Oryzias latipes: one gene and its partners. The protein of the gene in region 1 interacts with the protein of each later gene in a biochemical or structural test. Links are inferred from orthologs where the notes say so. Each region holds a gene or a part of one and is shown on either strand. Other genes may lie near its edges. The genes, in order: kdr, hspg2 and shc2.

What was found.
Region 2: the proteins of kdr (region 1) and hspg2 form a complex in vitro, tested with the Homo sapiens proteins (2 studies listed by IntAct). The link is inferred for Oryzias latipes from reciprocal best matches to the Homo sapiens genes KDR and HSPG2.
Region 3: the proteins of kdr (region 1) and shc2 form a complex in vitro, tested with the Homo sapiens proteins (2 studies listed by BioGRID). The link is inferred for Oryzias latipes from reciprocal best matches to the Homo sapiens genes KDR and SHC2.

What each region holds. Positions count from the first base shown.
Region 1 is NC_019862.2:262,336-268,458, forward strand, and holds part of kdr (vascular endothelial growth factor receptor 2), read left to right. Parts: intron 1-182; coding exon 183-354; intron 355-1,617; coding exon 1,618-1,732; intron 1,733-1,844; coding exon 1,845-2,014; intron 2,015-2,092; coding exon 2,093-2,243; intron 2,244-3,379; coding exon 3,380-3,497; intron 3,498-3,619; coding exon 3,620-3,731; intron 3,732-3,810; coding exon 3,811-4,155; intron 4,156-4,229; coding exon 4,230-4,376; intron 4,377-4,450; coding exon 4,451-4,576; intron 4,577-6,123. UniProt on the Homo sapiens protein: Tyrosine-protein kinase that acts as a cell-surface receptor for VEGFA, VEGFC and VEGFD. Plays an essential role in the regulation of angiogenesis, vascular development, vascular permeability, and embryonic hematopoiesis.
Region 2 is NC_019865.2:23,375,619-23,381,741, reverse strand, and holds part of hspg2 (basement membrane-specific heparan sulfate proteoglycan core protein), read left to right. Parts: intron 1-121; coding exon 122-253; intron 254-557; coding exon 558-702; intron 703-2,385; coding exon 2,386-2,543; intron 2,544-2,628; coding exon 2,629-2,769; intron 2,770-2,847; coding exon 2,848-3,011; intron 3,012-3,088; coding exon 3,089-3,268; intron 3,269-3,365; coding exon 3,366-3,562; intron 3,563-3,878; coding exon 3,879-4,026; intron 4,027-5,443; coding exon 5,444-5,571; intron 5,572-5,721; coding exon 5,722-5,808; intron 5,809-5,912; coding exon 5,913-5,968; intron 5,969-6,123. UniProt on the Homo sapiens protein: Integral component of basement membranes. Component of the glomerular basement membrane (GBM), responsible for the fixed negative electrostatic membrane charge, and which provides a barrier which is both size- and charge-selective.
Region 3 is NC_019862.2:29,912,394-29,919,159, forward strand, and holds the start of shc2 (SHC-transforming protein 2), read left to right. Parts: upstream 1-2,305; 5' UTR 2,306-2,611; intron 2,612-2,628; exon of another isoform or gene 2,629-4,152; 5' UTR 4,153-4,196; coding exon 4,197-4,967; intron 4,968-6,766. UniProt on the Homo sapiens protein: Signaling adapter that couples activated growth factor receptors to signaling pathway in neurons. Involved in the signal transduction pathways of neurotrophin-activated Trk receptors in cortical neurons.

The DNA of each region.
Region 1 (6,123 bases):
GTCAACAGGATGCAGAACACAGTGCACTGTTAAATAAACAAAGCATGCAAAGTTGCACTGAAAAAACATCTCAAAAATAGTGAGACCACAAAAAGTAAACCACATATAGTGAGGGAACACTGTACATTAGTTCAAGAAATTCACATTTAAACAAAGTTATTTCTTGTGTCCTGCTAACTCAGAACTCCGGGAAACTCCACACGATTCCCCACAAGAAGAAGCTGTGGAACTCTCTGGAGCTTTCCAATACTCTTATTGTGGAGAACGTGACAACGGAACACTCTGGAGAATTCATCTGCACGGCATCCAGCGGGCAGATGGATGAAAGTGCCTCTGCATACGTCAAAGTCTACGGTAGGTGCACTGGACAATTAAAATGGATTAACAAAAATGCTTTTCCATTCACACAATGTAACTGCATCAATTGACTCAGAAATAAATGAAATGATCAAGAAAATGGTTTTGACATTTCATTTTCAAAAAGTTCTCTAGTAAATGTGTACCAAAATTCAACTAGAAATATCTAAGTTGATAATTAAAATTGGATTAACAGAAATGCTTTTTCTTTTTCACAATGTAACTGGATCAATCGACTCAAAAATAAAATGAAAAATCAATCCTCCAAAATGTTTCTCTACTTGAACAGCTCCCAGTCTTTGACGTGATTAAAGCGATAATGCAAAGAGGGGATTGCACTCCCCCGGAGTGCACACCGTAACAAAACCCCCTTCCCTGCCCACAAACACGAAGCTATGAGTCCGGCTGCACTGATCAGAGTCATACTTCGCTCGCCTGGAGCAGCCGGCCGGCCGGCCGGCCGTCCTGTTTGCGCTACAAAGCCTTCCCTGGAGCAGCACACCGAGTGAACACTGACATCATTGCCCTGCCTCCCTCATGGAACAGCTGATTGGAAAGGATTTATGCAACAGTTTTTGCATGGTGGATGTGAAAATGAAAATGCAATCCCCTCTTTGCATTAATGCTTTAATTATGTCACAGAATGGGGGTGTTAAAGTGGAAAAGCATTTTGGAGGATTGATTTTTTATTTTACTTTTGAATCAATTGATGCAGTTACATTGTGAAAAGGAAAAAGCATTTTTTTAATCCATTTTAATCATCTACTTAGATACAGTATTTCTAATTGAATTTTGGTACACATTTACTAGAGAACTTTTTGAAAATGAAATGTCAAAAAACATTTTCTTTGTCATTTTAATAAAGTGACAGACTGAGCGGTGAAGAAGAAGAAAAAAACTGTTTAGCAGATTTATTTTTCATCTAATTTTTGAGTCAATTACGTAGCTTTATTGTGCAAATGAAAAAACATTCAGGTATTAACTTCTATTTTGAATGATGAGACAGAAATGCTTCCATAGAGCAGGGGTGACCTGGTCTATAATACAGCTCATGCTGGGGCACCTGACGGTTTTCCTTACTACACACAAAAGCTTGGACATAGTTTAGTGTCAATAACAAAGCATCTCATCTTGGCTGGATGAATTTATCAGTTGCTGAAGTCTTATTTGCACAGTTTTTCCTTCCATGAACTTCCATAAGATCAACATTTTCAAACAATTCAAATAAATATGAATAATTATGTTGTTATTTTCCTGCAGAAAAGCCTTTCATTGAAATGAAGGAACCCTGGCCAAAGGTCTGGGAAGTAACGGTGGGAGCTCAAGCAAGTTACCCTGTCAGGTACTCTGCGTACCCTGAACCCAGCTTTAAATGGTATGTTCATGTAGCAGTGGCAGTTTGTCATCAGTTGTGTGTCATAAACAGTTCTTTTATTACACATGAAAAAGCTGCACATTGCACATTTTTGTACCATTATTCTGTTTAGGTTAAAAGATGGCCTAGTACTTAAGGAGAGTTACAGAATCAAACAGAAGAGCGACGCTCTGGTCTTCCGTGGCGGAGTCATGGAGGCAGATGAAGGAAACTACACATTGATCCTAAGCAATAAGGTCACAAAAGAGGAGCAGAGATCCTCTTTCCAGCTGCTGGTCAATTGTATGAAAGATGACTTCTCTTCTGTTTTGTTCCTGAGCTTCTGAAAATGTCATAGTGATGATTTCTTTTTTCCTTCAGTGCCTCCTCGTATTATTGAGAAAGAAGTTCCAGTGGACATGTATTCATATGGTGGGAGCCCTGATCTGACATGTACCGCCCGTGGATTTCCCATTCCTGAGAGCATTCAGTGGCAGTGGATGCCTAAGGAAGACTGCAGGGAAACCTTTGTGTAAGTCGTTTTTGTGTGTGTGTGTGAAAACCAGTAAACACTGGATTTCTTCCTTTTTTGTTTCTGTGCCGTGATCACATGCCTCGTCATCATTTATTGTCATGAGGTTGGCAAAAACAATAGAGGTTGTTGACAAAAACAAGAAAAAAGACAATGAGGGGCACTCTGACCCTGATGGAGATCAGCGGATGTGATTCGGTCTCTTCAAAATGTTCGATTTTAGAAGACATCAGACTTTCTTGCACAAATCTTTGTTCTGTCTGGGCCAGTTGTTTGAGATCGGAGCTCCAAAGTCTGCAGCCTGCACATTTCTGCAGTGACACAACTGCCTGCTCAGTGACTCCTGCAAGGGTTGAATGGGTGTTGATAGAGAGGAGGTTTGTTCTTTCGTGCGTAAGTGGCCACTTTGACCAGAGAAGACCATGCAGCAGCTTCCTTATCTTCTGCCTGCACATCCCAGAGTTTCCTTCGTCCTGATCCACATTTCCTGTTGTTCCTGTAGCTCTTTCAAAATGAAAAAAAAAGAAAATAAAACGCCCTAGTGTACAATTTCGAAATAGAATGACTTGGTTTCAAGAAATACACTTTAAATATAGTGAACTTTCTCTTATCGGCAAAAATGATCGAAAAAAATGAGGGAAAAATTCCCATCATATTTAAAAACAAGACGACATCCCAATAAAATGTTTGCACACTGCAAAAACTGAATTGTAATAAATTAAAAAGACCATTGTTCTAATGTCTTCTTTTCTGTCTTGCGTAAAAATAATCTCATCACGAGTGTTTTTCAATAGCAAAATAATTTTATTGACTAGACCTTTTTTTTTTTTAATTACAATTCTTGGTAAGATCATTTTTCTTACCCCACTTAACTGGCAGATTTTTTTTAATGCTTATTCAAATAATTTTTTTTTCATATTTTAAGATTATATTACTTACTTCTAGAGGGGTTGTTTTTGTAGTTACCAGGTGTTATATTAAATTTACTAAGTTTATTTTTATAGCAGTTACGAAAAAATAAGTGGCAAGATTAAGAGTTGGTTAATGAACTAAGCTGAGGCTAGCCCAGTTTTTTGGAATGAATCATGAAAATGGTATTCCAGCTTGGTTTTCCGTGTCCGTTTTTATTGCATCAGGCCCGGAGTGATAAAGCCTGAGGTGGTGGATAAGTGCAAAAACTGGAGAGATATCAGCAACAGCAGTGGGTACAACCATATAGAGAGGACTACAACTGACATCGATCCTCACGCAAAGGTAAACCACTGACTGATAACCGCAGGTTACAATCACTTCTCTACCAATCATCATTTTAGGTGTGTGTTGGGCATTTTTATCTTTTAAAGAATGTTAACAAATACATTTGATTCACTTTTTAGAAAATTGTAAGCACTTTAAGGATCCGGAACGCAGACACCCACTCACTCTACAGATGCATGGCTTCTAATAAAGTTGGGAAGGACAATCGGATAATCATTTTCCGTGTGACAAGTAAGCATTATGCTCCTTCATCCCTTCTTGTTGCATACATGTGCTTTATAACACATTTTTTTCATTTGCTTTCTGATAGGCAACCTTGAAGTGAGTATGTATCCATCTGATAAGCCCTTGGAGGAGGACAATGTGGCTCTGAGGTGCAAGGCGGACAAACTGATCTACACCAACCTCACCTGGTTCCTTGCGGCTAATGTGTCCAAGTCAGAGCGGGATGCGCCGATTCAGCCGTGTCACTCCATGACCCTTCAGCCGGTCCCCGTGTCACAAGCTGTGCTGCCCACACAGCAGGGAACCAACATCACCTTGGAGCTAATGCTGCCCAATGCATCCTTTCAGGATGAGGGCCTCTATGCCTGCCAGGTGGTGAACATAAAGACTGGGGTGAAAACGTGCCTTCTGCTGCGTCTGTCTCTAAGAGGTTCCTGCTTTACACATCTTTTGCAAACATGCAGAGTCTTGAGGGGTCTAACATCAGTTTTTCTATGACTTCAGATCTCATGGCTGCAAGAATTCGCAATAATTTTACTGACCAGAAAGTAAATGTTAGTGCCACCATTACTCTCCACTGTGATGCCTTTGGGATACCCAACCCAACAGTGGTGTGGACCAAAAACAATAACACGGTGGTGGAGGGGTCTGGTGGGTTTTGCTCTCATCTAGTTCTTCTTTTGTGATTTTATATGTCTCCCTAATAAATTCCCTGTTGCCCTCAGGTGTGATATTGAACCAGAACAACCTGACAATCCAGCGTGTGAAACAGCAGGACAGCGGTCTGTACACCTGCACTGCCTGCAACAGCAGAGGCTGCGACACCTCCCAGGCTGTCTTGACTGTTGAAGGTCAGTGTAACCTTAAACTCTTACATATGCATCTCATTTCCTGCTTTTGCACATCACAGTATTGAAGCAAATGCTTTAAATTACCATTTTCCTAAATTACCACTCTTCCCATCATGTAAACCTTTCCCTTCATTCTTGCTTATGCTTTTATCAGACTTGCCACCTGACAGCTCCGTCCTCTCCAGCTTGCTTACAGATAGCAGAAGATAGATTCTGCATAACTAAGAATAAAAATTTGATGGAGGTTAAGATTGAGAAATTGGAGGTTTAACTGTAACTTTGAAATCAGGACTACACTTAGACTGCAGACAAACCTGGATCAGATCAGAATCAGAAGTACTTTATTGATCCCACACGTGGGAAATGTGTGCGTTACTGTAGCAAGTAAACATAAGAGAAAAAAGAACAAGATAAAAACAATAATATAAAAAAGAAAAATGTAGCATGAATGTAAACAAACAAGACCATTTACAAACAGGTAACAATGTGCAAAAAAAGAGCAGATATATGAAGAATTAAACATCTCTGGATAAGCATTTAGTGAAGGACATAATGTCTCAGGGTAGCCTCAAACAAGGTTATGACATGGTTGTCTTTCTTTGTGACCTCAGGCTTTCAGATACTACTACAAGCTTGTGGTTTTTCTTTGTGGTCACATTTTTGTTGTCTTTTTGTGAAAGCTCTCTTTGTGGTTTTGCTGTCCACTATCTCTAGCATGCATGTCATTGAACAAAAGCTCGGCACTGAGGCACAACTAATCCTCTGGCACCTGGGCTTGTGCCCAGTTGGACAGTTCTGTGATTCATCTGAGGACGTCGCAAATGTGTTTCATAGCTGAGAATGAATGACAACCTAAAAGCTCATGGAAACAAATTCAAGATGAAAGTCTGACAATAGAGGTCCTTCAAATCACATGACACGATTAAAATGTTTGATATCAAAGAGACAGAATAGAAATAGCTTTTTGTACCCATGGAAGTTGGACCAAATAATGCACGTCCTCCTGGGATTTTTGAAATTCAAACAATGAAGAGACTGTGGGACAAAGAGAGAGGCCAGCCCTTCCCCAACGCCACTTGTACCCTCTCTCTGTGCTTCTCAGTCCCGAGCAGAAGGACACAACCCAAAACAAACAACTGCTGTGACTGGAAGCAGCGCTTACGTGACCCTGTCCGCGTCTGCACTGTGGTCCAGTCACAGGAAGTAAGACTCCTAAGAAAGAAAGCAGCACAAAAGAAACTTCCTATGCATAACATTCGTGTCACAAACTTACAAGTACAGTACTTTCTGACAGACCCACTCCAATGAAAATGTTATGTTTGGTGTTTTTAACATGTTTTTGTACCATTTTTCTGATGGTGGACATATATAAAGAAAATTAGGATTAAAATTGCATTTCTGACATTTCTTTAATAAAATCGTGGTGAATCAGGTAGACAAAAAGCAGACAAAAAAACACTGTTGACTGTTGAAAAAATCTTGTAGCTGTGACATAGAAACTAAAATCATCAGGCCACAGTCTCCCTGCTCTTTTCCATTCTGATGCA
Region 2 (6,123 bases), on another chromosome or scaffold:
GAGCTGTTACGTTGTTGTTTATGATTACCAATAAGACAACCCTATCTGACAACTTGTTTCCCAAATCGCCGTCCCAAAATATCAGACGTGTCTTTCTGTTTCTATCTATTCATCACTGCAGCTACCAAAGGCCCTGAAGAGCAGTGCGCATCTAAGCACTTTGAATGCGTCAGTGATCGCAAGTGCATCCCAGCTAGTTACCAGTGCGACGAAGAGCCGGACTGTGCTGATCGCTCTGACGAGTACGGCTGCAGTAAGTCCCACTCCAGCAGCTGGATCTTTGTTTTCTCTCATGAACATTTCAGTCTTTTTTTTTGGCACGCATGCTGTGACAGATTAGCCACAGCTCTTGTCAAACATCTGTTGAGTGAGAAACATCTTTTTCTGATAGACTCATTCGTGAGAACTTGAAGGAAATTCTCCATCCATACTTGGGAGTTAGGTGTCAGGCATTTATGTTTCTTAGCCGGGTAGCCAAAATGTACTCACTTAGCGGCTCTTATTTGTGCATGAATAGATGTCTTGTTTTTCTCTAATATCCATTTGACACTTTTTAGCCCCTCCCACTGTAACAACCCCACCAGAGGAGTCCATCCAGGCTGTACGGGGCTCAACTGTTATGTTCACCTGTCGGGCTGTTGGCGTTCCAACCCCAATGATCACCTGGAGACTCAACTGGGGACACATTCCTGTGAGTGGCAGGTGAGTTGATTTTCTTATATTTGGCTTAACGTATCAAAAATCCGCCCAAATTTTGTTAAAGTGTTTCAGAGTTTTTTTTTTCTCTTAAACACGGTCCTTGGGGGCATATCTTCTGTACCATATGTTAATCGCACCATCATCAAGCTCTTTTCAGGCCCAATTGTCAGGGATGCACCAGTTTTTTGCTATTGTCACACTGCGCATGTCACATGCGTTGTAGGATGAGCTAAACACGCAGTTTTGAAAAGACATTTAGCAGATGCTGTTCACACTGGACTGTTGCTACCCAATTCTAGCACATGAGTTGGCACTAGAGTTGGAAAAAGCTTGGTGCGAAATGTCAAAGTGGTGCATATCTTGCAAATTATGCTCCAGGCTTTTTTTTACTGCTCTTTTCCGATATCTGAAAGACTTGGTGTTATACAATTCCGCCAGGGAGCAATCAATAATTTCTCTCCTCCATGATCAATTTTTTAATGGTTCTGTGAATTAAGGTCATAACCAAATCCGAGTCCCCGATCGGTCAAAGTTCATCTGCAAAATGCATGTTCAATGGACACACTTTTTGTACTAATAGACAGAAAATTGTCTTAACGGCCAGAAACACCCATGTATGCATGTTTAGATAGACCTTTCCTTCAAAGTGGTTGTTCGAACGTGCGTTGCGAGTCCAGTGAGAATGTAGCATTATAGTAAAGTTTGATAATGAGTAAGGATTATATGAGGGTTTTTTTTATAATAAGCACAGGAAAAGGTCAAATAATGACAAACATACAAGAAATCTTATAGAACATAAAGCAACTCTGCTCTGAAAAACCCTTTAACATTTTGCTTATGAGTGCAGATTTTGAGAGAAAAAGAAAATAAATGAATTCTGATTGTTTATGAACCAGCTTGGAATAATCTATCAATAATAATCTCTGACTGTCGATCAAACTGATATTGTCCTTCAGTTGTCTGATAGTTAGAGCATTGTTCCCTCTGTTGTTCCCTTTGTTGAAGTTGGATTACAAATGTTTTAAGAGCTGTAAACCACCTCACTACACACTTCATACACTTTTCTCTTGAAAGCTGAAATGTATTCTGTACAGAAGACATAGCACGGAGGAGACTAATTGACAAGGTCTATCACCAATCAGGATGCAGAACACAATGTGCTGCAAAAGCAAAAACAAAAAAGTGAAATTGCACTGAAAAAATCTGTGAAATACAGACAAAAGGTGAACAGTGATATAGCTAGGGAACACTGTACATTTAATCTTCTGGAAAGTCTTTGAAGCTGTAAAAATTGTTTAGTATAAAGAAATATTGTGGATTGCTCTCCTTTGGGAAGGAATTCAGCTGCTATATTGGGATCAATGTATCCACAGAGCCTATTTCCCATGATTCCTCTGGGTTTGTGTAGTCAATGCTGCAGACCAAAAGCTTCATTTTTTTTAAATGTTAATGTCTGTTTGCAGCTGTGCATGTTTAAACTCTGGCTTGTGTCTGAACTAGCCTTGTGATTTTAATTAGCGAGAAAGCTGTGATGCGCTGTGGTTGCAGAGCAATCAGTGTGAGTTCGTCCTGGTGTGTGTGCGGTTAGACAATTACAGTGGAATTCTAAGGATTTTTTTCTTCTCCCAGTCTGTGAAAGTCAGAGGCCAGTTTACCAAGTCAAAATGAATCTCTTTCATTCCCCAGGGTTTCCATGAACAATAAAAATGGTTTTGGCACCCTCACGATCCGTGATGTGAAGGAGTCGGACCAGGGGGCGTACACATGCGAGGCCATCAATGCTAAAGGCCTGGTGTTCGGGGTCCCAGATGGAGTGTTAACCCTGGTATCAAACCCAATCCCAGGTATTTACCACTATCAATAGGTACAAGCCTTTCGGGATCACCAACACGGGCTGTAGCTGAACCCCCCCATCCCGCACCCTTTCAGGCAACTGCCCTGATGGTACCTTCAGTGTGAACGACCGCTGTGTGCCCTGCTTCTGCGCTGGAATTTCCAAGAACTGCAAAAGCGCTGGGCGCTACCGTGACCAGATCAGACTGCGCTTCACTGATGAGGAAGACTTCAAAGGCAAAAAATGAGCTCCATACTCGAAAGGTATTTGTGGCCCTGACCTTGAGGACTGAGAGAGCTATGATTTGCCTACAGGAGTGAACGTCAGCTACCCCTCCAGGCCCAGCACTCCCCCGCTCTCCTCCACCCAGCTCCTCATTAAGCCAGAGATGGAGGAGTTCCAACTCGTTGACTTATCACGGCGTTTCCTCAACCTTGACTCCTTTTGGACTTTGCCTCGCCAGTTCCTGGGGAACAAAGTAAATATAGTAATGATTTATATTGTCTGTTTTGAAAGACTAAGTATAACCCTTAATACCAATCAATACATTTTTAGATTGATTCCTACGGAGGAACCCTAAAATTTAAGGTGCGTTACACCTTGGCTCGAGGTCTGTCTGAGTCTGTGGAGAGGCCAGATGTCATTCTGGTTGGAAACGGACGCCGGCTTGTGTACCGCAGAGGCCAAAGCACCCCAGCCAATGTGGTCAACCAGAAAGAGATCCGATTCACTGAAGTAAGACCAAGTTCTGTCAGAGGCTTTGTATCAACCACAAATGGAGAGACAGATTGATCACACAGCCGGTCAATCTATCTGCCTCTCAACCTTTCAGGACAACTGGCAGCACTCGAACGGACAACCCGTGAGCCGTGGCGAGCTGATGATGACTTTGGCTAACCTGGATTCCATCAGCATCCGCACCATCTACGACAACCACATGGTCAGTGTGGCACTCAGTGACATTGTCATGGAGACCACCACCACAGAGTTCATCTCACTAGGTCCTGCTAGGGATGTGGAAGAATGCAGGTGAGGAGAGAAAACAGAACTTCCTTCTCAAAAACTGTCCATTACTTTTGTCTACATTCCTTAAAGGTTGGATACTTATTTGTATAAACAACCACACAATAGTAAATATCTATATTTATTTATTGAGGGTTGGAGGGGATTTTATATCAGAAAAGTGAGAACAAATAATGGTAATGTGCGTTTGTTTATGGCATGTTGATGGTGTTTCTGCTTCTGTGGCTTTTCCTCCTCCAGCTGTTTCCTATTCATGATATTACTTGCCTCTTGGTAGTAGATTATAACCCTGCACAATGATGCTTATGTTTCTCGTTTCCAGATGTCCTGCAGGATACACGGGCCTGTCTTGTGAAATTTGTTCCTCCGGTTTCGAGCGTGTCCCTGGTGGCCTTTATCTTGGCACCTGTGCAGGGTGTAACTGCAATGGACATGCCACAGACTGTGATCCCATCAGCGGAAACTGCTTGGTAGGGTCCACTTGGCTGGGTAGTCTGTGGCAAATAAATGAGAAATGGAACAATTTTACAGTACGGCAGCATATAACAGGAGATGTTTTGATGTCTGTGAGGTTAATCTAGACCTGGCAAAGATTAAACCAATTTCAAGGATAAACAGCGTACAAATTTGAAAAAAAGTCCAGTTTCTGTAAGCTGTAAAGAAAAAATGCATAACATTGAAATGCCTTGTTTGAAAAATGGTCCTTCTGCCAAAATTTAAATCACTGTAATCCATTTCTTCCTGTGGTCCTTAGAGATCTGTAGGTTATGTCTGAATTCCCTATTACTTGCTTCACAATACTTTGTGCCCTATATGGCATTTTCACCATTTTGTAGGGGTTGTTTAGGGGCTGTGTCCGAATTCCTTCACTACTCACTACATAGTGAACTATATAGTGCGTTTACCACTTTGTAGTGCTGTCCGAATCTACAATTAATAGATCAAGTGCTGTAGAATTTTCCCAGACGTCTTTGCGAAAAACCAGTGTGCTATCCTAGGCACTTTAACATTGGGAGTTGGGTCATCTAGACCCCACAAGACGGTGCGCTGAACCTTTTTTCTTCAATAATCTGTAATCTTCACTGGTATCCATGGATTACATGAAATCCTCTTCAACTTTATCCACCTTTGTCATGGTAGGGATAACACGTTAATATAAAGGTGGGGTCATAGGATAGCACAAAGGTTAAACAATTTTTTTTACATTACTTTGTATGAGTCATCCAAGCTGTCATCATCAGAACCCTGTGGATTCATAAATAGGATTCATAATAGTTTTCATAAATAGTTTTTTTGTAAAATGTTCCTATTTATTTGGAATTTAATTCTGCAAATAAGTATTTGGGATTTATAAAACACACACTCACATATATATATATATATATATATATAAATACATTTTTCTGAGTTGCATTGAAATCCATGGCACTGGACTTTCCCACACTATACAGTCTTTTAGAGAATAGTGAAGGACTTCATAAATAGCTATAATGTTGGAGCAAATATCTCTAATGCTTTATATCTTGTCCCTTTCGGCTTGTTAAACATAACTCTTGCAGAAAAACAGGAGTTTGATAATTTTTTTCTGTTAAAATTAAAATGAAATTAGCTTGAAGTGTCCGACTGTCCAAAAATGTATAATTCTCCTTTAGCATGTTTGTGCTAATGTTAACTTCTTTAGTGGAAAAAAAAGTCTACCAGTTTGAACTATCTTATTTATTGTGGCAAACAATGATGTAAAAAAGATGGTTGCTAACACATGAGAGACTTTATGGTGGAAAAAATGAGAAAAGAATAGACTGTAGTCTCAGAAATCTCAACGCCTTCATTTTCAGATGTTTTGAACTTCATTGTAACAGAACGAGCTGTGTGCTCTCGCCCACACAGAGCTGCCAGCACAACACAGAAGGCCCTCAGTGTGAGAAGTGTCGCCCCGGCTACTTTGGTGACCCAGGTCGGGGTCGCCCTGATGACTGCAAGCCATGTCCCTGTCCGTACCCGGAGACCTCACGTCGGTAAGGCTGTTGACTACAACATGAACAAATATATATGAAAACACGGACAAAAACCCTGGGCGCTTATGCATTCTGCACATAATTCATTTCCCGACAACATAAATCCTCATTCTGTTGCTCAGGATTCCTCCCTTTTGTCGAACTTCCCAGGTTTTCTGACACCTGTTTCCTGGACATCGACCAGCAGGCCACGTGTGACGCATGCAGGCCTGGATACACCGGAAGACGCTGTGAAAAGTGAGCATAAAGATGTCAGGGCCTCTATGACAGTGGGAAGAACTGCAATGCCACATTGAATGTTACTAACAAAAATATGCACCATTTTCTAAAATCTATTCCAGGTGTGCACCTGGTTACCAGGGTAACCCCCTCCTACCAAATGGGAAATGTGTTTCACGTGAGTTTTTCTTCTCAAACACTTGGGGTTTTTAGAGTATGATTAAATGAACAGAAGCTCCTTTCTGAGCCGGTTTAATGATTACCAGTAGGTTTTGTCACATGTGGTCACTGTTCTAGTATGTGTAGATCTCCCAGGTACACTTTCCTCTCCAC
Region 3 (6,766 bases), about 30 Mb from region 1:
ATTGAATGCACAGAGTCCAATATTTAACTTATGCATCTTCCGACTTTTTATCATCTACTTGAACTGAGCCTTAAAATGTAGTTTTACTTCATTTTCATTAACCCACTCATACCAGGGTCACTAAAAGAAATAAATACTCAGTTTTTAGTCCTTAATTCTTATTTTTTTTTGGTTTAAAGGCCCGTACACACCGGGACGAATATTCGCCAGGCGTTATTCGCCAGCGTTTTTCGTCACGTTTTTTGTGTTCACACCCAGGCGATTTTCGCTGACGATGAGTGGAGTGAACATGCAATTTCATTCCCTGACATTAGATGGCGCTTAATGTAAAACAGAAATACTCCTGTACACAAGGTGGCGCTGCGCAACTTTACGCTTCTTAAAGTCGCTTTTCACTCAGAAGAAGAGAGCAAGTATTTACGCGCTTGTCAGAATCAAACAAAGAAAACATGAATATTTCAAGCACCAGTTGCTCCAACTGGTGCTTGGTTCGGGGATATTTTAGAATGTCCGTCATTATTGCTTCGCGGCAGTGTAGACGCTACTTGGCGTCTATCTTCTTCGCTGGTATGTGTGCTCAGCAAGGCAGTTTTGTGTTTGAGCGCCCCCAAGTTGTGTTTTACTGTAACTTCAGAAGCTCCAGACACGTGAGCAAAAGCGCCGTTCTCATTGGTCGAGTAGATTTCGACGCGACGCGTCGAAAAAAAAAAACGAACCCGAGGCGTTTTTTTTTTTCGACGCTTTAACGCCTGGCGTTTTTTCGCGTCGGTGTGCACACTCTCATTGGTGCCCTTTGTTTAGTCACGAGGCGTTAAACGTCGGCGAAAATCGCCGGCGAAATTCGTCCCGGTGTGAACAGGCCTTAAGGCCCGTACACACCGGGACGAATATTCGCCAGGCGTTATTCGCCAGCGTTTTTCGCCACGTTTTTTGTGTTCACACCCAGGCGATTTTCGCTGACGATGAGTGGAGTGAACATGCAATTTCATTCCCTGACATTAGATGGCGCTTAATGTAAAACAGAAATACTCCTGTACACAAGGTGGCGCTGCGCAACTTTACGCTTCTTAAAGTCGCTTTTCACTCAGAAGAAGAGAGCAAGTATTTACACGCTTGTCAGAATAATACAAAGAAAACATGAATATTTCAAGCACCAGTTGCTCCAACTGGTGCTTGGTTCGGGGATATTTTAGAATGTCCGTCATTATTTCTTCGCGGCAGTGTAGACGCTACTTGGCGTCTATCTTCTTCGCTGGTATGTGTGCTCAGCAAGGCAGTTTTGTGTTTGAGCGCCCCCAAGTTGTGTTTTAATGTAACTTCAGAAAGTCCAGACACGTGTGCAAAAGCGCCATTCTCATTGGTCGAATAGATTTCGACGCGAGGCGTCAAAAAAAAAAAAAAAAAACGAACCCGAGGCGTTTTTTTTTGACTCTTTTGCCGCGTGGCGTTTTTTCGCGTCGGTGTGCACACTCACATTGGTGCCCTTTGTTTCGCCGGCGAAATTCGTCCCGGTGTGAACGTGCCTTAAGACCCACTCCAACGGACAAAATAAAATCAATAAAAAAACAAGACCCACTCCAATGAATATTGTGTTTGTGGTGTTAACATGTTCTTGTGGCGTTTTTCTTATGACGGGGGACATATACAAAGAAAATTCAGCGTAAAATTGCATGTCTGAGTATTTTTTTATTGAAGTTGTTGCAAATCGGGAGGCGAAAGAAAAAAATGCAGTTTGAAAATAGGTTATATGTGACGTAGAAACTACACTGGGCGGGGCCAAAAGCTCCCAGCTTTTCTTTATTCCGATACATCCAGTTGTAAATAAATAGGTCCTCGGTTTTCCTTGTCTGTGCTGTAATCTGGATCAGAACTTGATATTGCTCTTTATTTTTGTTTCACTGCTAATGTTAGATTAGGGTGTCAGGGGCTGTAAGCCAGCGGGAGAGAGTGTCAACAAATAAATGATGGGAAATGGGGGCAGTACGATGGCGTTTGAGTGCAAATCATTCAATCGGTACAAAAGATATTTAAAGATCACGACAATAAAAAAATAACAAAAAAAATGTTCAAGAGTAGCATTGCCTTTTGGAAAACAAAACAAAATTTCAGGAACCAAAACGTAAAAAAACAAAAATGAAAAAAAAAAAAAACGTTTCAGAAAACAAAATTAATTTCCAGGAAACAAAATGGAATATTCAAAAATGAAAAATAAATAAATATAATTTTTAGAAAACCAGGTGAAATGTTACTAAACAAAACACAATGAGTAACCGGAAAGGTAGTAATCATGTGTTGAGGAAACCAAGGTCAGAACATCCGGTAAAAGTCCAGCTGCGGTGCATCAACAGGCATCGATCACATCTGGTTTATCAGTAACCTTTTATTTTCCATCGGCAAACAAGTGTGGAGGCATTCGCTGTAGAGGACGGTAGTTTCCAGTATTCCTGCAGAAACTTTCGTTCATGGCGTTTTGGGTCACCGGCGTCTTTCTGCTGTAACTGAACTGCATCACATCTTCATTGATCACTGAGTGATCAGAGGTTCAGCGGACTGGAGTGTTTCCACCATAGGTTTCCACGTTCCTCCTCCAAAATTACCCATCATGCTCTAGGTAAGATATTTATTTTACAAACGCATCAATGGATCAAACGGACTGCATAGTACATGTGTTGAAAAATGTTCCCAATTTATTATACTAACTCGATTTGGTTAAAAAATATGTTTATTATTATTATTTGACAAGTGTTTCCAAGATGTTCATGAGCTTCAAAGTAGTGGGCTCTTCCCAATGAAATTACCTTCCTGTAAAGACTGTTATACTAATACTATTTGTCACTTTTTTAAAGAAGTAGCTAAATATTATATAGATATAGAGTAATCCTGTTTGCATTTGATGATGATTCAAACCACAAATTTTGGAAATTGATTTTTTTACTTCTTAATAAACCCTCTGACCACTGCATTTTATTCCTGAAGTTAACCTTTGACCTCTCCTCCTCATATCATAATGGCCACTCTTTGTAGTGGGTGTAGAATCATAGTGACATGTGGTCACATTTTAGCCAAAATCTATTAAAAACACTTTCAAATAAACTTTAGAATTCTTTTGACTTTAAAAGTTAAGGTGCTTTGATTTTCTGTCAGAAAATGTCACGTATAACGTGAAATTCTGCAGATTCAAAGGGGGGAAAAAAGTGAACTGATTGCGTCGAATTCCGGTAGCCTCATTCTATTTCGTGTCTCTCGTGTTTAACGTGTCTCCATTTTTTTCTCTCCTTAGAAGGAAGGATATCGCTGCGGGGAAAATGATCTGACAGGAGAAAGGAGAAGCGTTCAAAGTTAGAAGTGAAAAGCATCGTGCAGAGAGAGCGGATTGCTCTCTTGGGAGGCGGGAGGGGAGGTAACTCAGGCAGATGGGATTGGGGTAGTTGTTGTCAGTCAAACAGTTGCTCACAAGCGTAGCTGTATTGTTTACTTTGTCGGTTTTTGTAGGTGCAGCCAGACCAAATGGAATTACACTCACATGAAATGACTCATGCAAAATTCACTTAAAGTAATTGAATCCTGGCGTTTCCTCGGTTTCAGTTTCATCAGTTCCTGAGTTCGTATTTGTATCTAAAAAAAGGCAGACGGGGTTTTCAGTGTATTCCTCTCGTGTATTCATTTTTAAGATTCTTTCGAGAAATATCTTGATATGAGCAGACAGATGGCAGAATTTATTTAATGTATTTTCAAGTCCATGATTTGTCGTTTTAAAAATAATTTTCCACATTTTTTAAGAGCTGAAAAAGCGAGGGTCCTGTCGTGTGTGCAGACAAACACAGGTGATCTGCAGTTCAGGCAGATGTGTTGCAGTGAAAATGGTGGGAGAGCAGCTGGGCAGGGCAGGACTTAATAGACCAATGACATCATCCTCAGAGAGGGAGAGCAGTGAAAGGAAGCGGTCCAGCTCAGAGGAAGAGGAGAGCAGCATGAGAGCGGGACAGAGCCGGAGCTGGAGAGGACCACAAAGCCTTAAGCTGACTTTTAGAAGGAAATAGGACTCTGTCTGGATTTTTTTTCGTTTTTTTTGCTTAGTTTTCTCATCCTCTTCCAATACTCCCCCTTCCCCTTTCCCCCCTCCTTCCCCTTTTCCCCTCCATCCTTTAGCAGTCGTACTCCACCTTCAGCTTCTGCTTCAGGCGGCGTCTCCGGGCATGCTCCTTAAGCCAAAGTATGGCCGCTTTCGCAATGAGTCTGTGACCTCCTCTGACGACCTGATGCAAAGCTTAACCATGAGCAGCAAAGTTGTGGCCACGCCAGTGGTCCCGTCCGCCACCCCAAGCCTTCCTCTTCCTCCTTTGCCTCCTTTGGACCCCAATGCCCGGTCCTCCTCCTCCTCTGCTGGGGCTGCAGCTTTGGCCGACTCCCCTTGCCTCGATGGGGAGCAAGATGCCACTACGACGTTCTGCATGCTCATCCCCAGGATGCCCCAGTGGAAGTTCTCCAACTCTCTGCTCAGCAGAAGCCCATCTAACTCAAGTTCCAGCTCCAACTCTAGCAAGGACTCGGGCAAGGCAGCAGGAGCTCCATCCCAGGCCTCCTCCACGTCCACACCATCACTCAGGCCCATTGGTTCGACTCCCGCCAGTGGACCGGTGGCCAGCCTTGCAGCTGTGCTTAACTCCTGTGACCCTGTGTGTGTCACCCCCTGTTCCCTTCAGGCCATCCGGGGGCAGCGAGCAGTTGCAGCTGCAAATTCTGCCGCCGGCGCGGCGGGTCATGAATTTGGAACCCCGGAGCTCATGGTGAGCCCCGGTGCCGCCAGCAGCTCCAGGTCAGGAATGAACCGCAGGACAAGAGGGGAAGGCATGTGGCTTGGGGGAGAGGACTTCAGCCACAAAGGCAACTTCATCAACAAACCCTCTCAGGGCTGGCTGCACCCCGACAAGAAGATTGCAGGACAGGGGGCCTCGTACATAGTGAGGGTAAGTCAGAAGGTACAGCTGCGTACGTTCCACAAATCTTTGCAACAAAAAAAAAAAAAAAACTTTTTAAAGTGTTGACCACGTGATCTTCTCCACAAGAATAACAGAATGTCAGCATCCCAATCTGAAGGTATCTCTTTCTGGAATCAGGAAACAAAAGAAGCGTGCAGTTTGTTATGCAGCTCATGTGGCGAGGACAGAGGAATGCATAATTTAATCCACAGAGATGGGCTGTGTCAGGGCTCCACTCAGGCGTCTGGGTGCGGAGAGAAAAAAAACACCAATGTATGCACACTTAGAGCCACAATGGAGCACGTTATTACGATTCCCCCCAGAATCATCATTTGTAGTCTTTCGACATATATAAGGTTATTTTCCATGGATTATTGACATTTCATGGATCTCTGTGCACGAGTTAACAAAAGTCCACTTGGTAGTAGTATAAAATCTGGGTTAGTGTTTGTGAATGCTTTATGTTCTGGGGGGGGGTTAGAGACTCACTAGGCTGGTTTATGTCAACAACCCCTCCCCACACGACCGATACCCCTCTGGCCCTCCTCTCTCTTCTTCTGCCTCTCAAAGTAATGACAATGGCTCTTAATTAGCCCCGTTTCTGGTCCAAGCCCCCCCCCCCTTTAAAGGTATAAAACAGGCGCCATTCATTCCTATATTCAATTACATTTAATCACAGTCATCTGCATCATGGGACGTGCAGAAGAGCACATATGAGCTCTTGTCACCACAGATGCAGATTGTCTTGCTTGATATCTCGGTTAAAGAGAGGATATTGTCATCTATAGAAGGGGTGTGGGGGGGTCATTTTAGATGACTGTGGGAACCAGCGTTTGGGATTTACATGGTTTGTGGCTTTAAAGCTGCACTGTGTGTGCAATCGAGTGGTCAATGTATGCAGGGAGCAGCGATGACTGCATGTATTAGTGTCAGTGGGACAGCACATTCCTGCTGCACCGTGCCATTTTTAAACGGCGCAGCGGCTGACTCCCCGCCTCCGTTTCCTCATCACTGAAGCCGGTTCTCATGCTATGGCCTGTCTTAAGACAAAAAAAAACAAACATGCTTTTTGTCGTCTTTGTACGCAGCCATGTCGGATGCTGTCTCTGCCGCTCAGCAGAGGAACAAAACCTGCAGCAAACTGGTGGAAACAAACCCAAAAGCTGTCATTTTTGTTCCTGGTTAGACCATTTAGGCACTTTACCTGAAAAGTCTTGTTAGAAAATACAGTTTGGTTTTTAATAATTTATATTAGACGTTCATGGATTTTATATTAGAAATTTTGGAAGCTGTTTTGTCTTCTAAATCCACATTTCTCCTAAAGTCCCACACTAAGCTTTTGATGGTCTTCCCCCAGTTTACTTAAGCTTTTATGTGTCTGCAGCCGTTCTAGAGTCTTGAGGTCTGCTAATCAATATTTACTTGATGTGCCCAGGTCACGACCGAAACACCGGGGTGACCGTGGTTTTTCCAATGTCGGCCCTCAGTTAGGGAATGGCATTCCTGCAGAACTGCATATGAAATCCAACCTAAACGGCTTTAAATGTCAATTAAAAGCGTGCCCTTTTAGAATGGCTTTTAATGTTTGGTGGCATTTTTGTTTTCTTTTATTTGTTTTATTGTATTGTTATTTATTTTTTATGTGTTTTATTGCTGACTGCTTTTTGCAATTTGTTCCTGTTTTTAATTTTCTCTTCTTAATTTACCTAATTTCAAACTTTCTTCTGTCTTCTTTTTATTGTGGAGCACTTTGGTACTTCTAAAGGAGTTGTAAATAAATCTTCCTT